Neurospora crassa OR74A: one gene and its partner. The protein of the gene in region 1 binds, or shares a complex with, the protein of each later gene. Links are inferred from orthologs where the notes say so. Each region holds a gene or a part of one and is shown on either strand. Other genes may lie near its edges.

Region 1 (3,918 bases):
CACACCCCTCCTCCTCAGCAACAGTTTGCCGCTCCTCCGCCGTATGCTCAAGGCGAGCAGCAGCCCCAGCAGCAGCAGCAGCCAGCACCCACACAACCGGTTGGTCTGGGGTTGAGCACTTCGGCAGCGGCTGCCATTACTGGTGCACCCGCCGCCGGACAGTTTTCCGGTGTAGGTGCGGTGTCGGATGACGTGGGAACGTTCAATGGTGGCAGTTACCGTATCAGCCATCGGGATTGCAATACTATTTTGACTGTGCAGTTGGCGATCGGTTGCCCGTTGGATGCTAAGCCGGGTATGCTTTCTCTCTTGAAATTCACTCCATAGGTGTATCCAAACGAGTGTGTACTTGGCTAACAGTCTCTATCTTATTCTCGCACAGGATCAATGATCGCCATGTCCCCCTCCATGTCCCTCAAGGGAGCCTACAAGTTTGGCTTGAAGAAACTTGTTGCCGGCGGCGAGATGGGCAGCTCGACTTACACCGGTCCGGGTGAGTTGCTTTTGGCCCCTGCCATGCTCGGCGATATCACGAGTCTCCGCCTGGATGGCTCCCAGACCTGGTCTGTCAGCCACGATGGATACCTTGCTTCGACGCAGAACGTCACCAAGGACTATAAGCGCCAGGGACTGGGAAAGGCCATGTTCTCTGGTGAGGGATTGTGGGTGTACAAGATTAGTGGCACGGGGCTGTTGTGGCTGACGAGTTTTGGTGCCATTGTTCGGAAAGATGTGAGTTATCAGTTGTCTGAAGTCCGAGTGGAAGGGTGCGGGTTGCTAACAGAGGAGACAGCTGGCGGACGGCGAGAAGTACATTGTTGACAACGGCCACTTGGTCGCATGGAATACCAAGTACGTTCTGGAACGTGTTGCTTCCGGCGGCTTACTATCGGGCTTCGCTTCTGGCGAAGGACTGGTGTGCAAATTCACTGGCCCTGGAACAATATTCATCCAGACAAGGAATGCGGTTTGTCAAACCCCACACCAGCTTGATACGTTTGGACATGACATAAACTAACTTTTATAAAGACTGCCTTTAGTGCGTTTATGACCGGTCAAACAGCAAAGGCCTAGAGCTGGATTAGGATGTAGGAGTCGTACGGGAGAGTGATACCTGTGGCGGTCGCATTTGAGGCTGTGAACCTCGCATCACTTGATGTCCTTTCATTCTGTTTATTTTGAGTTTGTTAGCGATGTCATGTCGGCTTTGAGATGTGTTCGGGAATAGTTAAAATGTCAGTATCAGTGAACCATGAGCCTCTTGTCCTGTCCTTAGACTAGAAGCTTGACAGCTTCGTTTCCGCTTGGCAACCTATCGATCCGCCATGAATGAGGTTTGGGAAACAGGCGACATAGGCCTGGCTCTCCAAACAATGATACGAGAAGATCCCACCGGGAAAAGACAGACTGAGAAACTTTGAACAGTGGAAAGAAAGTCCAAGTTTGCGAGTAAAAGGGTCTTCGGTGACCGGCTGGCTTTCTAGGGTTAGGGTCAAAGCAGCATCGCGCCCAACTTCACGGACAAAATTACGCCTGTGATTGGCCAGCTTTTTAATTGATTTTGTAAGAGCTGCGCGTCAAGGTAACTTTAGACGCGTCTCCCAGACCAACATCATCCCCAGTCCACGGCTTCCAACCGACAACCTCCCACGTCAGAAAGCCAGGAGGACAGTCCTACCAAGTCTCCATCATGCTACGATCAAACGTCAGTCGCATCGACCCCAAAAGGCGAAACGTCCTCGACCACCGCAAGAAACAATTCGCAGAAGCCGCCTACAAGGACACCGATTATCCCCATCGGCTCAACTTCTACTCGACCCCTCCAACAGCCGACATCACCATTGAGCAGTTTGAACAATGGGCCATCGACAGGTTACGAAGTATGTATCATACCACGCTCATATCTCAGTGATCTACAATACTGGGCGTGCCTCTAAACGCTAATCAACCTCTTTCTTATCATAATCCAGTCCTCGCCGAACTCGAAGCATGCTCCTTCCGTAACAAAACCCCCGCCGAGACGGCCTCGCACATGAAACCTTTACTCGACAAGTACCTCCCGCTCGACACCAACAGCTCCTCCTCCTCCCAGCTCTTCGCCCAGCGGCAAAAAGACCACTACAGCCACTTCATCCTTCGTCTCGCTTTTGCGTCCACGGAGGACCTCCGACGCCGCTTCACCCGCGTCGAAACCATGTTATTTCGCATGCGCCTGAACGCCGACGACGGTCGCGAGCGCGCGGCTTTTATAAACTCGCTTAATCTCGACTGGGAGACTGTTTCGGACGAAGAGAAGCGCGAACTAGCTGCCGAGTTGGCAGCGACTGCCTCCTTCGGCGGCTACAAAAAGGGACAACAGCAGCAGCAGCAATACGAAGAAGACCAACAAACATGGTGCAAAGTCTCGTGGCTGCGCGTCCCCGAGCTGGTCGAACAGCGGCGCGTCTTTCTCCGACAAGGCTACGCCTACGTTCCCGCGCGCGAACAGCAAGCGATGGTCGTTTCGGAATTCTCGTCCCGGCTGGAACGACAGCTCGAGTTAACCGCCCGGGCCCTTCCCCGACTAGACGAAGACGACCGCTTGACGCCCATCCTGGCACACTTGTCCAAGAACTTTATCACGCCCGACGCTTCGTACGTAGGTACTTCATCCGCCATCTCCTCGGCGGATATCTCAGCCAGAAACATCGACACGCTGGTGAACAACCACCATTTCCCCGCTTGCATGTCCCATTTGCATCGCACCCTGCGGCGGGACGCGCACTTGAAGCACTACGGTCGTCTCCAGTACACCCTCTTTCTGAAGGGCATCGGCCTCAACCTCGAAGAATGCTTGCTATTTTGGCGACAGAGTTTCAACAAAATCACCGACGACACGTTCAACAAGGAGTACCGGTACAACGTGCGACACACGTACGGCGACGTGGGCGGCGACAGCAATCGGCGCGGCGGCGGTTACTCGCCATATTCGTGCCAAAAGATTCTCACAGAACATCCTCCCGGACCGGGCGAGGCGCACGGGTGTCCGTACAGACACTTTAACATGGAGAATCTGCAGACGCTGTTGCAGCAGGGGATGGGGGTGACGGATCGCGGGGTGTTGAATGGGGTCAAGGAGGATAAGGAGAAGCAAAAGTTTCATATGGCTTGCAATCGGTATGTTTCTCCCCGCCGCCTTGCTGCTGCTACTCTCTTGACGCTGCTGGACTTGAGCAGTGAATTAACGCTGATGTGGGATACAACCCAGGGTATTCGAACATCTTCACAAGGAAGAACTCAAAAAGGCCAAGGATGAGGGTATCATGACTGCGGCGCAGCTTGAGACTATTGTCCACCCCAACGAGTACTTCAAGCGGAGTTACTTGCTGAAGAATATGGGCAAGATGCAAGGGGATGTCAAGATGGAGGGTTGAAGATACCATGCATGGTTGATGCGGACGAGCTTGAAAAGAGGTTCGATGTGGAAATATGGATGGGCATGGGATGTGGGACCCGGGTTTCTTTCTGTTGTAGTATTTTCTGGCGTTCAGGCGACATAGCGACGACATGACACTCGTACAAGTTCACCCACACACACATGTATGGGATATGATTTGATGAACATCATTAACTTGATCATATTCAACATGTAGATTTATGGTTCTGACATGCTATCCCATACCACGAGTACAGCAGACACCAAAAGAACTAGGCAACACATCACAGGTAATCAAAAGGTGAACAGAAAGTGGTGAGAAATGGGTATCAATTGTTTATTCTTTCTACTGCGGCAATGGCTTCCTGAAGCGACCTTGCAACCAGCAGCGGTACATCTTCAGCTTCTTTGCCCGGTTGACGAGCAATCTACGATCGACACCAAGGTCCTCAATCACGAAGCGGATGTCAGGCTCAGAAGCGTCCTCGACCTCACTGTCCTTG
Region 2 (3,918 bases), on another chromosome or scaffold:
CTAAGGAATTTCGCTATCAAAAGGAAGTTTTATTGGAGGTAGGCCTATCTTTTTATCAAATTTTTCTTACCTTACTATTAACTACCAAAATATATAGGGAAGTTATTCTAATAAATATTCTATCTAGAACGCCCCCAATTAGCCCAATAATTCAGTATTTCGACGGCCTTAAAATAAATTTAAACCCGGATTAATTAATTTTAAAGCTTATATTAAAGCTTCTATTATTTTAATAGTTTAGAAGATAATTTAGAAGGGTAGATAATTAAACCTCGTTATTATAAACTGTAATATAACTATAGTAAGGAATAGGTATACTTCTAATTCTTATATCGATGTTTTAGAGTAAGGATTAGCTCCTTATTATCGTCCGGGAACTTTTTTTCTCTAAAATAATGCGAGAATCTATACTTCGAAGTAAACTAAAGATTGGTTGGAAGACTACGGTATCTAGTATATAGCGCATCCTACTCATAGCCCGGATTTAAACCCCATTGAGTACGTTTAGAATAAAATAAAGAGGATATTGAAAAAAGAATTCCCAGAACTCTATTTACTAACGGAGAACGAAGCAAATAAGCGTCGAATTAGAGAAATACTTATTAGCATTTAGAATCGCATCCCTCAAGACTTCATTAACGGCCTTATCAACTTAATGCCCAAACGCCTCGAGGCTTACAGAAGGAATAAAGGCTGGTATACCAAATATTAAATTAGATTCTAGCCTTTCATTTGCAATAAGAATCATTAAAAAATATTAAAGTTTAGTAGTAGAATACACTCTAGAAGGTTGGTATTAAGATATTAATAAATAGGGTGCATTAGGCATTAGGGGGAGGTGACAGTATTTTTTGATCATGAGTTTACCTATTGTCATTAAATGAAGGGTTAGGGTTTAATACCTATCTACTATATAAGGTACACCCCCTCCGGGCCGTCAGTGGACGTTGGAGGTTGCAGTTGTTGTCAGCGTGCACCCCTGCATGCCTGCCCGCCCCTCTGCATGGTCCCCGCTCCACTGCAAGTGCTTTACGCGTACCGCGGTTTTACGACGCGACTATTACTGAATTGAGGTTGTTCCATGAATCGTGAAATCAACACTGGAAAAAAAAGAAAGAAAAAAAGAAAGGCAATCCTTACCCGACCAAACACTCCCAGATATTCACGGAACGATAGGATACTACTCGATTTCAGAAAAAACTATTTTCGTATTCGAGCGCCTTCACAATGCCTCATTCCGAATCACCACCAGAGTCAGAGAACTCGCCGATACCCATGGCCAATGTCGACCAAGAGCAAGAGGATGCCGTTGCTGAGAGCACAACGGCCCAAGTTCCGGAAGCCCAACAGCCAGCAGACGAAGACGTTGACATGGCAGACTCCAATGCAGTCCTATCCGCCCCGACAAATGGCACAACTCATATCTCAGAGTCAAAGGCTGAAAGTCAAGCCGAGACGCCAAACAATCAGGATACCCCAGTACCAGAGGCTGCCACGGGTGCGCCGAGCGAGAGCAAACCGGCAACAGGAGTGAAGCTCGAAGAGCTGTTTGATGAGATGGACTCTGACGATGACGAGTTCCCTACTACCAAGGCAGCAAAGAGGGAGCCAGCAAGCTCGCCCGATCTGCTCTCCTCGCAAAGGTAGCACAACCATGCATTTCAAGCCCAAGACAGCAGAAGCTAACTATGCACAGTGACATGGAGATTGATCTCCACGAAGCCTCAGATCCCGAAGTCATGCGCACATTCTACCAGCGCCTCTTCCCATGGCGATACCTGTTCCAGTGGCTTAACCACAGCCCAACACCCACCAACGATTTCGGCCATCGTGAATTCGCCTTTACGTTGCAGAACGACGCATACCTACGATACCAATCCTTCACCACCTCGGATCTGTGAGTTTGTCTATCCGGTTCCCTTCCAGCTATCCATCTTACTAACCCGACCAACCTGAACAGACTCCGTAAAGATGTCCTCCGCCTCATGCCCTCGCGTTTCGAAATTGGTCCCGTCTACACAGCCAACCCCCGCGATCGCAAAACGCTACGGAACTCGTCAGCTTTCCGGCCCCTGTCCAAGGAACTCTGCTTCGATATCGATCTGACAGACTACGATGACATCCGTACTTGCTGCGACAAAGCCAACATATGCCAAAAGTGCTGGCAATTCATCACCATGGCCATCAAGGTCGTCGACACGGCTCTGCGCGAGGACTTTGGCTTCAAGCACATCATGTGGGTATACTCGGGTCGTCGCGGTGCTCACGCATGGGTATGCGACAAGAGTGCGCGGGCGCTAGACGACCAGAAGCGACGCGCCATCGCCGGCTACCTCGAAGTCATCCGGGGCGGCGCGCAAAGCGGCAAGAAAGTCAACCTCCGCCGGCCGCTGCACCCGCACTTGGTCCGCTCCCTCGACATCCTCAAGCAGCATTTTCAGTCGGACGTGCTTGAGGCCCAAGACCCCTGGCGCACCGAGGACCAGCAAGAGAAGCTCCTCGCCCTTTTACCTTCGGATCAGAAGCAACTCGTGTCCGCCCTGCGCAACAAGTGGGCTTCATCGCCCGACCGGCCGTCCACCCTGAAATGGGCCGACATCGACAGCGTGGCCAAGACGTCCACTGCCAAAAACTTTGACACCAAGTCCCTCCTGGACGCCAAGCAGGATATTGTGCTCGAGTACACGTACCCGCGCCTTGATATCGAAGTGTCCAAGAAACTCAATCATTTGCTCAAGTCTCCCTTTGTCGTGCACCCGGGCACAGGGAGGGTGTGTGTGCCGATTGATGTGAAGAGGGGATTAGAGAGTTTTGATCCGCTGGGGGTGCCGACGGTGCAGAGTCTGATTAGGGAGATTGACGAGTGGAAGAAGCCAGAACCAAAAGAAGGGCGCCAGGAGCAGGAGGTGGAGAAGCATGTGGTGGATTGGGAGAAGACGAGTCTGAAGGGCTATATTGAGTTTTTCAGAAGCTTCGTGATTGGGTTGATGAAGGATGAGAGGGAGGTTAAGGTGAAGAGGGAACGAGAGGAGGAAGGAGGAGGAGGAGGAGGAGGTGAGAGTATGGAGTTTTGATGGGTGGATTGAAAATAAAGTCGGAATAGGGGAAACATAGAAGGCTTGGGTCAAATGTTTGTGCATCTTGTGATGTAAGGGGTCATTGGCGTTGTATGGTAAGGACTGGATATCGTTTGCAGGCCAAGGTTTAGCAGGTCTACGGCTGGCTTGAACATGGGAACATCATGTCCCTTTTTGATAACTGAGAAGGGTATTTGTTTGGCGGCTCAAAATAATTGGGTATATATGCCCTGTGATGCACCCGCCATCCTAAACCATACAACGGCCATCTAATCTGCCACTGGATGTTATGGGGGATCTTCACTGGACTTTTCCTACAGAGCAAAGAGCCGTCATCCACGTCTTCGCATTCGAAGGATTGATTCTGGTGGAGGTGAGACAGCGGTTCTACCCAGACATTTGCACATCTTGTGCTTGCTCTGTCGTCTGGTCTGTGACCTCGGGAGCTGCAGCCTCACCATTGGCTTCTTGGGTGCCGTTCTCCTCCTCTTCATCATCCTCGCCGTTGTCCGCAGCAGGGGTACCACATGACGACTCTGCCTTGAGGGTTCCGCCCTTTCTCTTGGGAATAACGGTCAGGAACGCCTCACCCCAGTCACCGCACTCGAGCCATTTGGCCATGATCTCTACAACCTGGTTTGTCGTGAGGACGTAGCGGCTCTGCATCGCCATATACTCTCCAATTGGCAGTTTGGCCGTCCGCACCTTTGCCGCCTTGGCCCGGCCGTAGCAGAGGCCCTTCTCGCGGTTCCTATCCACCAGGCCGCCAATGACGTAGCACGTGTTCGCTTCTAGCTTGTCCAGGGTGTAGTCAGACTCTGCCGACAGGTAAACAATCGAC

Evidence for each region.
Region 2: the proteins of NCU04646 (region 1) and NCU02232 are in contact, whole or in part, in a cryo-EM structure (PDB 8FOC), measured with the Saccharomyces cerevisiae proteins. The link is inferred for Neurospora crassa OR74A from reciprocal best matches to the Saccharomyces cerevisiae genes PRI2 and PRI1. Residues at the interface, in NP_012879.1 of Saccharomyces cerevisiae: Gln194, Gln197, Thr198, Ser200, Ala201, Phe205, Pro228, Phe229, Glu230, Ile233, Val236, Gly237, Arg239, Val241, Phe242, Leu243, Lys244, Asp245, Gly246, Tyr247; in NP_012273.1 of Saccharomyces cerevisiae: Arg149, Glu150, Asp151, Phe152, Gly153, Tyr154, Arg175, Leu179, Gln183, Asn186, Val187, Tyr190, Arg195, Lys206, Pro208, Tyr209, His210, Pro211, Ala214.

The regions. Positions count from the first base shown.
Region 1 is NC_026505.1:1,347,884-1,351,801, reverse strand, and holds NCU04646 (DNA primase large subunit), read left to right. Parts: upstream 1-1,600; 5' UTR 1,601-1,690; coding exon 1,691-1,880; intron 1,881-1,970; coding exon 1,971-3,156; intron 3,157-3,247; coding exon 3,248-3,413; 3' UTR 3,414-3,639; downstream 3,640-3,918. Other genes in the region: NCU04645 (DUF124 domain-containing protein), read left to right, coding at 1-295, 383-732, 794-967, 1,030-1,074; NCU04647 (actin binding protein), read right to left, coding at 3,762-3,918. UniProt on the Saccharomyces cerevisiae protein: DNA primase is the polymerase that synthesizes small RNA primers for the Okazaki fragments made during discontinuous DNA replication. In a complex with DNA polymerase alpha (DNA polymerase alpha:primase) constitutes a replicative polymerase.
Region 2 is NC_026507.1:3,252,776-3,256,693, forward strand, and holds NCU02232 (DNA primase small subunit), read left to right. Parts: upstream 1-1,052; 5' UTR 1,053-1,227; coding exon 1,228-1,643; intron 1,644-1,696; coding exon 1,697-1,897; intron 1,898-1,960; coding exon 1,961-3,074; 3' UTR 3,075-3,414; downstream 3,415-3,918. Other genes in the region: NCU02231 (tRNA (guanine-N(1)-)-methyltransferase), read right to left, coding at 3,465-3,918. UniProt on the Saccharomyces cerevisiae protein: DNA primase is the polymerase that synthesizes small RNA primers for the Okazaki fragments made during discontinuous DNA replication. In a complex with DNA polymerase alpha (DNA polymerase alpha:primase) constitutes a replicative polymerase.